Drosophila melanogaster: one gene and its partner. The protein of the gene in region 1 interacts with the protein of each later gene in a biochemical or structural test. Each region holds a gene or a part of one and is shown in the gene's direction. Other genes may lie near its edges. The genes, in order: Tbp and Bdp1.

Region 1 (4,003 bases):
CAACTTCTTCAAGGGATTTCCCCGTACGCCCAGCGTCTCGAGGTGTTCACAGTTACGAATTTCGTTGGGCAGCTCCAGGAGCCCAGTATTATTGCACCAGAACGTCTCCAGCTGAGTGAGGTATCCCAGTTCGGGTGGCAAACTACTAATGTTATTGCAGCTGATGTTGAGAAACTTCAGCCGGACCAAACGACAGATGCAGAGCGGGAATTCGTCCAGTTTATTGTAGTCCAACGTGAGGACCTGAAGTCGCATCAAACTACCAATGGAGGATGGAATCTGTGAGTCAAGGGATTGTGAGTCTATTATTTCATTGGCTATCTTGTGCACCAGGTGCCACCTTTGTTAGCTTGTTTTGGTTGAGGAACAGCTTCATCAGCGTCTCGCACTTCTCTATGATGCCCGGAACGTCGGAGATTTGGTAGTGGGACAGATTCAGGGAGAATGCCTTTTTGTATATGGCATCCTCGCAATTGGCCAGCACGTAGTTGTTGCGGAAAAACTGACAAACCTTCTCCATGTCGCCCTTATTAAGTGTTTACTTCTGCAGCACTTGAATTTGGTTGTCTTGGGTTCCAAACTATTTCACACTCTTTGGAAAACCTACTCTGTTTTTGGCGCTAGTAGCTTAGTTTTCAGGCCTTGTCTTTTGTAGTTTCGAACTGTCGCCCGATTTGCGCGTTTTTTCGTTTGTTTTGAGTGCATGTTATATAACGATTCTCGGAGTCTATATATGCACAAAAATCTCTATTTGCTGCACTCTCTTTTGCCTGCCTTCTCTTCCCAAGCTGATGAACTAAAATTAAAAATTTCATTTCCTGGGTAAAGGCATGCGCAAAATGCTAGATATTGGCAATAGGGTAGTTCTATTTTAAAATTGGTACATTGTCGCTTGTAATGTTTGTCGCACAAGGAAAGCTCAACATTTGACATTACCCATTCTCAGCTGCTAATTGGCAAAAAGCTCGTCTTTCTATCGGTTTATATAAATAGATTGTAAATTACCGAGCCGCTCTCAGTTGAAATTGAGCTCAGTGACTGGAAACTGCATCATGAGATCGTGTACTTTACTTGTTTTCATAGTGAGCACGCTGTTGTTTGCCGGTAAGTCAAGTGTGGGAACCACTAGAACCGCCACATCCATTCAACACTCTCTCTCTATTTTTCTCCAGTGACAAATGCGCAGCAGAATTATGATGGAAGAAATGGTCCCCATGAGTTCGGCACACCTGGAAACGGCATTTACATACGGGGTCAGAACGAAGGACCCTACACAGTGCCCGAAATGGGAGGAACGTTCCAAAACTCACCCTCAAGTGGGCAGCATTCCTACACCGATGAGCACGGAAATACTTACACCCATTCCTCAACGGCAACTGTCACAAGTTTGGCCTATTCAACCTTCGGTTTCAGCATGGGCGGCGTTCTCATTTTTCTAATTAGTTTAATAACCATTTAATTGCACTTTCCAAGTGCAAAAGTTCCAATTAATTAATTTTTAACACATCGTTTTTCAGTTCACGCCCACGAAAATCTATTGCTGAAACTGCATAGATGAGAATAACCATTTTCCTTCTAAGTATTATGCACTATTATTTATTCGCTATTTCTTTTGTTCACCTTATACACAAATTATTTAGCTATTAAACAGAAGTACAACAAAGTATACTTGATTCTTTTGAAAAGTGCGCCATTTTAGTTATCGATTGGCAACAACGTAAGGGAGAGATTTAACGTATAAGAAATATTTGAAACGTTGAAGTGTGATTTTTAACTAAACATTAAAATACAATCAAAGATAATTATTGTTATAATTATTTTCATACATATTTTCAATGAAATACTTAAATGCTAAGAACGTAACGATAAACGTAAGACCCAGCCAGCTATCGATAGTTGCGGCAAAATGCAGCGCTGACTTTGCCATTCTCACAAAACGAGCCACAGGTACAACGACGAACGCGGTTGCATTACATTATTATTATTATTACTATTAAATTAATTTCCCGCTCTGTGGGTATGCAATTAAAACCCAAAGTTGAGCCCGTTCAGCAATCTTGAATTGAGTCACTGAAAAATTCACCGGAGTCCACAATAAACCATCTGTAAGATGGACCAAATGCTAAGCCCCAACTTCTCGATTCCGAGCATCGGAACGCCGCTCCACCAGATGGAAGCGGACCAGCAGATAGTGGCCAATCCTGTGTACCATCCTCCGGCTGTATCGCAGCCGGATTCGTTGATGCCGGCACCCGGTTCCAGTTCCGTGCAGCACCAGCAGCAGCAACAGCAGTCGGACGCCAGTGGGGGATCAGGTCTCTTTGGCCACGAACCATCGCTCCCGCTGGCGCACAAACAAATGCAGAGTTACCAGCCATCGGCCTCCTATCAGCAGCAGCAGCAGCAACAGCAGCTCCAGAGTCAGGCGCCCGGCGGCGGTGGGAGCACTCCGCAGTCCATGATGCAGCCGCAGACGCCGCAGAGCATGATGGCCCACATGATGCCCATGAGTGAGCGGAGTGTGGGCGGTTCGGGGGCCGGAGGTGGCGGAGATGCCCTGAGCAACATCCACCAGACGATGGGCCCCTCCACGCCGATGACACCAGCCACACCAGGTTCCGCTGATCCCGGTATTGTGCCACAACTTCAGAACATCGTGTCCACGGTTAATCTGTGCTGCAAACTGGACCTCAAGAAAATAGCATTGCATGCGAGAAACGCCGAGTACAATCCTAAGCGATTTGCGGCTGTGATTATGCGAATCCGAGAGCCCCGGACCACCGCCCTTATTTTCAGCTCCGGCAAGATGGTGTGCACAGGGGCAAAGAGTGAGGACGACTCCAGACTGGCAGCGAGAAAGTATGCGCGCATCATCCAAAAGCTCGGTTTCCCTGTAAGACAAGACTTTACATTTCCTTTCTCTTCCCGGCGAATCTCTAACGCTTTCTCTCCCGCAGGCAAAGTTCCTCGACTTTAAGATTCAAAACATGGTCGGCTCCTGCGATGTCAAGTTCCCCATACGCTTGGAAGGCCTGGTGCTGACCCATTGCAACTTCAGCAGCTACGAGCCTGAGCTATTTCCCGGCTTAATCTATCGTATGGTGCGACCTCGAATCGTGCTCCTCATCTTCGTGTCCGGAAAGGTGGTGCTCACTGGAGCAAAGGTGCGGCAGGAGATCTACGATGCCTTCGACAAGATATTCCCCATTTTAAAGAAGTTCAAGAAGCAGTCATAAATAGGATAGCGCTTTATTAGTTCTGTACGTGTACGTTTTAAGGTCGGTAGTTCTGGAAGTCTGATCATATGAGTGGGAGCAGCCTGGCGAGCAGCTCCGATCGAGAATAAACCACAAAGTAATTTAGCTGTACGGACAGGCTTTTATTATTATTTTTTTTCCGTTAATTACTATTCGTAAAAATTTAGACAAGGACTATGAACGCGAATGAGGTTCCTACAGGCACTGGGCCATCAGGGCGCCCACGTTGTCGAACTCGATCTTCTCCGTAATGTTCTTCGTCTTGATTTTGTCGTCCTGCATGGCCACGATGACGAGTCCCTGGCCCTGGTTCTTCCAGCCATTGCGCTTGATCCAGCTCTCCAGCGTCGAGTCCTCGATGCCGCCGAGCAGCTCCTTAAGCAGGTCCTTGCGAATTGTCTGGAATGTGGTGCCCACCACATGCGAGACGAACTTGCGAATTGAATCGTGGAAGCCGGTGATGTGGCGGAACATGTTGCGGTTCACCTCGGCCCGCTGCCAGAAGAGGGTGAAGTCCGCCCGCTCCAGTATGTCGGCGAGGTCGATGATTGTCTGCACATTCTCGTCCTTCATCTGCTGGGGCAGCAGCAGGCACTTGGCCATCACGAAATCCGTGTGCGGCAGGCTGGTCAGTGACTTCAGCAGAATGGTGTACGTGATGTCGAAGTTCAGCATGTGCGGGTTGAACTGGTACAGTTTCAGCACGGCCAGGTTGGCCTCCAGGTCGTAGGTGTTGTTCTTAGCCT
Region 2 (5,168 bases), on another chromosome or scaffold:
CCTTGCGCCGGCTCAAACTGCCCAACCAACTGCCGCGTTGCTCATTAGCCGTATATTCGTCATTGATAAGCGCGAATCCGTGAAACATGTCCTTCATCTTGATGGCCCGTGAGCAGGCGTAGTTCTTGGTGGCCACGTACATCTTGGTGAGGAACTCGGGCATTTGTTTCTGAGTAACCCAGGACTTAATATTCTGCGGTATGGGTATGCCCGGATCGTCGAAGTACGTGAGGACAAAGTGGAGGCCTGGCTCATGGAAACCGCGAAAGGGCTTGATGACCATCAGGCTCCAATAGTCAGTGACGCGAACTTTTCCAGACAACGCCGGATAGGTGTTGTGCGTGGCTCCGCGGTTGCAAATGAATATCAGCTTCTTGTTGTCGTCTTTTATGTAGCGGCGACAATAGACGTAGTCGCGATTGGCGAACAGTCGTGGCCACTGCATCTCCCAGTATATCAGATGCGAGTTGCTGCCCGGGACGGGATCCTCGCTGATGAGCTCAAGTCTTAGGGCCGTGTCGTCCCACTGGCGACGGTAATCCAAATCCGTTTGAACGTGGAGGAAGTCGTCCGCTGTGATGTCGTCGAATCGAGCATAAACCTGCAAACGGAAAGGCGGCATAAAAGTGAGCCCTAAAAAACTTTTAGATGGCCTCTTACCTTGTATGAGTATAAGGAGGAGCGCTCCTGCCGCCGCCAAATGCTGAATTCGTTTTTGCTAAAGTACGGCTCCCATTTTTGGTCGTCCTGGGCCTGAATGCGTACCGTTCCGGCCGGTGCATTGCGCACGTCCAGATCCAACGGTCGCAGACAATTGCTGATGCTGGTGTCCGGATCCGTCTCCGCCTCTTTGCTGGTGGACGGCTGGGATTGGCCCTTTTTGCAGCGCTGGTTGCCCAGCTGACAGTAGCAGTATTTCATCTTCTTGGCCTGGCAGCGGTCGCACAGCTGATTGTTGGGCAGGGCGTTGATAAACTCAATATCCCGGCGGCACAGATCAAAGTTGGACAAGGCCAGGCGCTCCTTGTTCCAATCGAAGCCATCGCTACCCATTCGCTTGATATTCAGCCCGACGAGACCCACTGCACTCATCACCATTCCCCGCAGCGGAGGCTGCAGCTCCCGGCGGTAGTAGGCGCGCCATAGCTGCTTCAGACCCTGAGTTCCATACACCGACTGGTAGAAACTGAACAACTGCTGAACGCGACGCGAGCGCTGGGCGAAAATCGACTCGCATTGGTAGCTCCAGGCACGCAGCGTTTCTCGGGACTGGTTCTTGATGGCCAGTACAAATCGATTGAACAGCATGCCGGCTAATTCAATTTGTCCGTCGGCCGCCCGCTTGCATAACAACCTACTCAAAAGTGCGGCGACTTCTTAATGCTCCTTCGCTATTACTGTGCCCCCGCACACTTGGCACATTTGTCGCCAGAAAACTTTGGGAATTTAGTACTTCTAGCCAGGACACACCCGATAGGTTTGCCGGAAGCGTTACTGCACGAGAGCTTGGTTAGGATCTGGGCGGACTTATCATGTTTGCCCGATTAGAAAAAACGTGCAACTTGCAATTTGTCTGCTGCTTCTGTTGTTATTCCGCTGTTGTTGTTCCTGTTGTTGTGCCGTTACAGGCAGCAGTGTTGGAAAATCGCAAACCGCCTGCTGAGAGGTGACAGCTACGATCAGTGATCACACTTTTCTGCAACACTGAAACACAAATAATATTAAATTCAACCAAACTTTTACTGTGTACAAATTTTTGACGTGAATCTGGTGAAGTGTGCCATAATTTATACCAATTTATTTTTGACACTGCGAATAAATTTACTTGACATGCTTTCTAATAACGCAGTTATCTCGTTTTTTTTTTATTTGTTAAAAAATCTTTTGGGTACTGCAAGTTTTTTATAGCCATTTTGAAACTTTAAATAAATTGGTTGTCTACTTTCTTACATGGCCAGGACACTGTGAATGCTCTTTGGCGTTAGCCAACACTATACTTGGGAAACTCGTGGTTGCGGCCGCATTGTTTTTGTTGCGCAGATTTTGATTCGATTTGATGTGTGAAACTGCGGTTGAGCCTGGAAGAAGCCTAAGAGTACCCAGGCAGGATGTCCATGCGGCGCCAGCGCATCAAGGCTCCGGCCAACCTGTCGCTTATCAAACGCAAGCCACGCAGGGAGGAGCTCCCAACGGCGAAAAAGGAGGATGAGGAGGAGGAGGCGGTGGTGGTGGAAGCAGAGGCTGAGTCCCCGCCCGTTGCATCGACCCCTGCTGCGGAATTGGAACTAGAGGCTGATGCAATCGCCTTCAAGATGCCCGCAAGCTCGGCTGGGCAGCTGGAAGAGGTATTCCACTCGGACCTCGAGGACAATGTCATTCAGATGGACTTGCAGAAGACCACCAATGGCTTCCCTATGTCGCCCAGCAAGGCTCAAGCCCGTCAGCGTGTGCGACCCACTCCGGTATTTGGCCAGCGACGCAACAGCTTCGTGGGCTCACCCATGGCCAGTGATTATGAGGGCGACTATCAGTCGCCAGCCACGCCCACGCGGCGAGAGCGCTATCTTAGCGGTTCTTCATCGGGAACTCCTTTGCAGCAGCAGGTGCACTCGCCTATGCCTCCGTCCCCCTATAAATACCTACCGCCCGCTAGTCCGGGCATGGGACGCATTCGCACCGAATCCACCTGTTCCACCTATTCCGAAGGAGGTAGCAAGCAGAGGAAGGGCGACGATAGGTCGCAAAGTCAAATTGGACAGCGGTTAAATGCCCGGCGAGACTTTGAAACCCGTTTCAATAAGGGTGTACCCGACAAGTCCACGTTCAAGATGATGGACATGATCTTCTACAATCCGGAGAACAATCCCATGGTGCCCAAACAGTCGGTGACGACCATCAAGGATGAGTCTGGTGGCGATGATTCCAAGCCCGCAGTCAGTCAACTATTGGAACCCAAGGGAGAGTCCACATCCGCTATGTTAGTGCCTCAGCTAAAGCTTGATGCCAATGGCGAGATGATCATTGATGAGAAAACATTGGAGATCGAAACCACGGCCGAGGTGGAGGCCCGCAAGGTGCTAGCCAACTCATCGTTAATCCTAATGGACGAGACTACGGGTGCGCCGCAGAGTTAATACATAAAAGTTGAATACTTAACGAATTTTATACTTTGCAGGAGATAATGGATTCTATAAACGCCACAAGCGCACGCCATACTGGACCTCCGATGAGACCGTCCGCTTCTACCGCAGCCTGCAGATCATTGGGACGGACTTCTCGCTGATGTGCCAAATGTTTCCAACACGTTCACGTCGGGATCTAAAGCTGAAGTACAAAAAGGAAGAGCGAACCAATGGGCAGCTCATAAACAAAGCACTCCTCTATCCTAAGGCCTTCAACATTCAGGAGCTCAAGGATCAACTGGAAGAGGAGGACCGCGAAAGGGAAGAAAATGATCGCAAGTGGAGGGAAATCGCACGAGCTCTTCCGGGAAACCCTAAGAAGGTAAATAATTTGTAGCTGACTGTAATCACCATTACATTTTTTAATTATATTTAGCGTTCCCGAGTACAGCAGCAAAGCAAGGCCTCAAGGGCACTAAACGATGGTGATGTTGTCTACGAAAACGAGCACGTAACGAGTACAAAGCTCGGCAAGCACGCCTGGGCCAAAAGGCGAAAGGAGTTGGAGACCGATGAGAACGACGGAAGTGCGCCGGCCAAACGTAAGCCAAAGGCTAAGCGACGATCTCCCAAGGTTTCAGTTCCAGCGGCAACGGAAAGCCTGTCTGATGTGGCGGCCATTAAGCAGGAAAAAACGATCAAAACCGAACAAACGAGTAGTCATTTGCCAACGGGGGGAGAACTGCAGGCTGAGCTCAATGGCCTCCTCATGGATGATCCGGTGGAATATGACGTAGATGTAAACAAGCCACGTGATAAAACTATTATCAATATGGATGATGGTACCCTAAGCTATGTCAGCGACGTCGAACCCGCCCCAGAGACGCCCAATCGAAAGGCAGAGACATATTTAATAAACTTCATTGAAGACCAAGATCATGAACTTATAACGCCGGATGACCCCATTCCGCCGTCCACTACCGAACCGGATATCGAACAAATTCTCGCCGAGCTTGCGGAAGGATCTCTGGCTCTCGTCTCGTCCTTGGATCCAGAGCACGAGGATCGTGTGCTCAACGAAATCTACATGCTGGACAAAAAAACGGGCGAGTTGTGCGAAACGCCTCTGAAAATACCAGAGCATATTGTTCAATGCATAATGAATGTTATGCAGCCAGAGGACTAACGACATTTTATATTTATATCTTAAGAGTATTTGTTAACAGTTATAATTTATTAAAGCATTTCGCTAGATGTATTTACAAAATTACTTTCTTGTTCCTCGCAAATTCAAAGGGAATTGCAAAAAATGCAAAAATGGGACTGACTTTCTTGGTTTCTTTAACTATTCCTAAAAAAAATTGTAATTAATATACAATTATAACAGATTTGTCAAAATAGTCTTATTTTATAAATAAAATAGGGTAGCAAGAAGGCTTTTAAGCATTAAAAGTGTTTGGTTATAGGTATCTACTCTAGACAGGATCATTTCGATTTCTTGCAATAACAAAAGCTTGTATAAAATGCAAAGATAGCCATTGCTTTTGTATAGAAAATTTAAATCAAATATATAAATATTTTTTGAATTTCCATTCATTTCAGAGTTGCCGTTCTCTAAAATTATTTTTCGCTTCGCAACACATATTTTCAGGCGCAGGGCTTTAGAGCACTGGACTTTTGACAGCTGTTGTTGTTGTTGCCTCGGCTGCGGTAGCAAATTAATACAATTTAACCAATATAGTAAAAAACGATGGCCCAAGTTCCCTTGGCAATCGTCTCGCACAAGCGCCAGGTGTGCAGCCTGTACAAGCGAGCACTGCGCAACTTAGAGTCGTGGTACGACCGACGGTGAGTGCACTCGGCGCAGAATTCCCAAATATTATATAATGAGCAAGTGCATCTTGGTTGTTTCTTAATGCCCATCAGCAATGTCTACCGCTACCGCGCTGTGCAGCTGCGTGCTCGCTTCGACGAAAACCGCTCCAAAGATCTGGGCGAGGGCATCCGCCTCCTAGCCTGTGGACAAAGGGAGCTTTTCGAGACAAG

The links.
Region 2: the proteins of Tbp (region 1) and Bdp1 form a complex in vitro, tested with the Drosophila melanogaster proteins (one study listed by BioGRID).

The regions. Positions count from the first base shown.
Region 1 is NT_033778.4:21,685,560-21,689,562, reverse strand, and holds Tbp (TATA binding protein), read left to right. Parts: upstream 1-1,920; 5' UTR 1,921-2,110; coding exon 2,111-2,893; intron 2,894-2,957; coding exon 2,958-3,236; 3' UTR 3,237-3,371; downstream 3,372-4,003. Other genes in the region: CG10307 (uncharacterized protein), read right to left, coding at 1-279, 341-520; BaraC (baramicin C), read left to right, coding at 1,053-1,104, 1,173-1,459; eIF3k (eukaryotic translation initiation factor 3 subunit k), read right to left, coding at 3,453-4,003. UniProt on the Drosophila melanogaster protein: General transcription factor that functions at the core of the DNA-binding multiprotein factor TFIID.
Region 2 is NT_033779.5:13,370,644-13,375,811, reverse strand, and holds Bdp1 (B double prime 1), read left to right. Parts: upstream 1-1,987; 5' UTR 1,988-2,108; coding exon 2,109-3,117; intron 3,118-3,175; coding exon 3,176-3,504; intron 3,505-3,558; coding exon 3,559-4,308; 3' UTR 4,309-4,385; downstream 4,386-5,168. Other genes in the region: CG6565 (uncharacterized protein), read right to left, coding at 1-601, 661-1,308; ND-B22 (NADH dehydrogenase (ubiquinone) B22 subunit), read left to right, coding at 4,873-4,970, 5,049-5,168.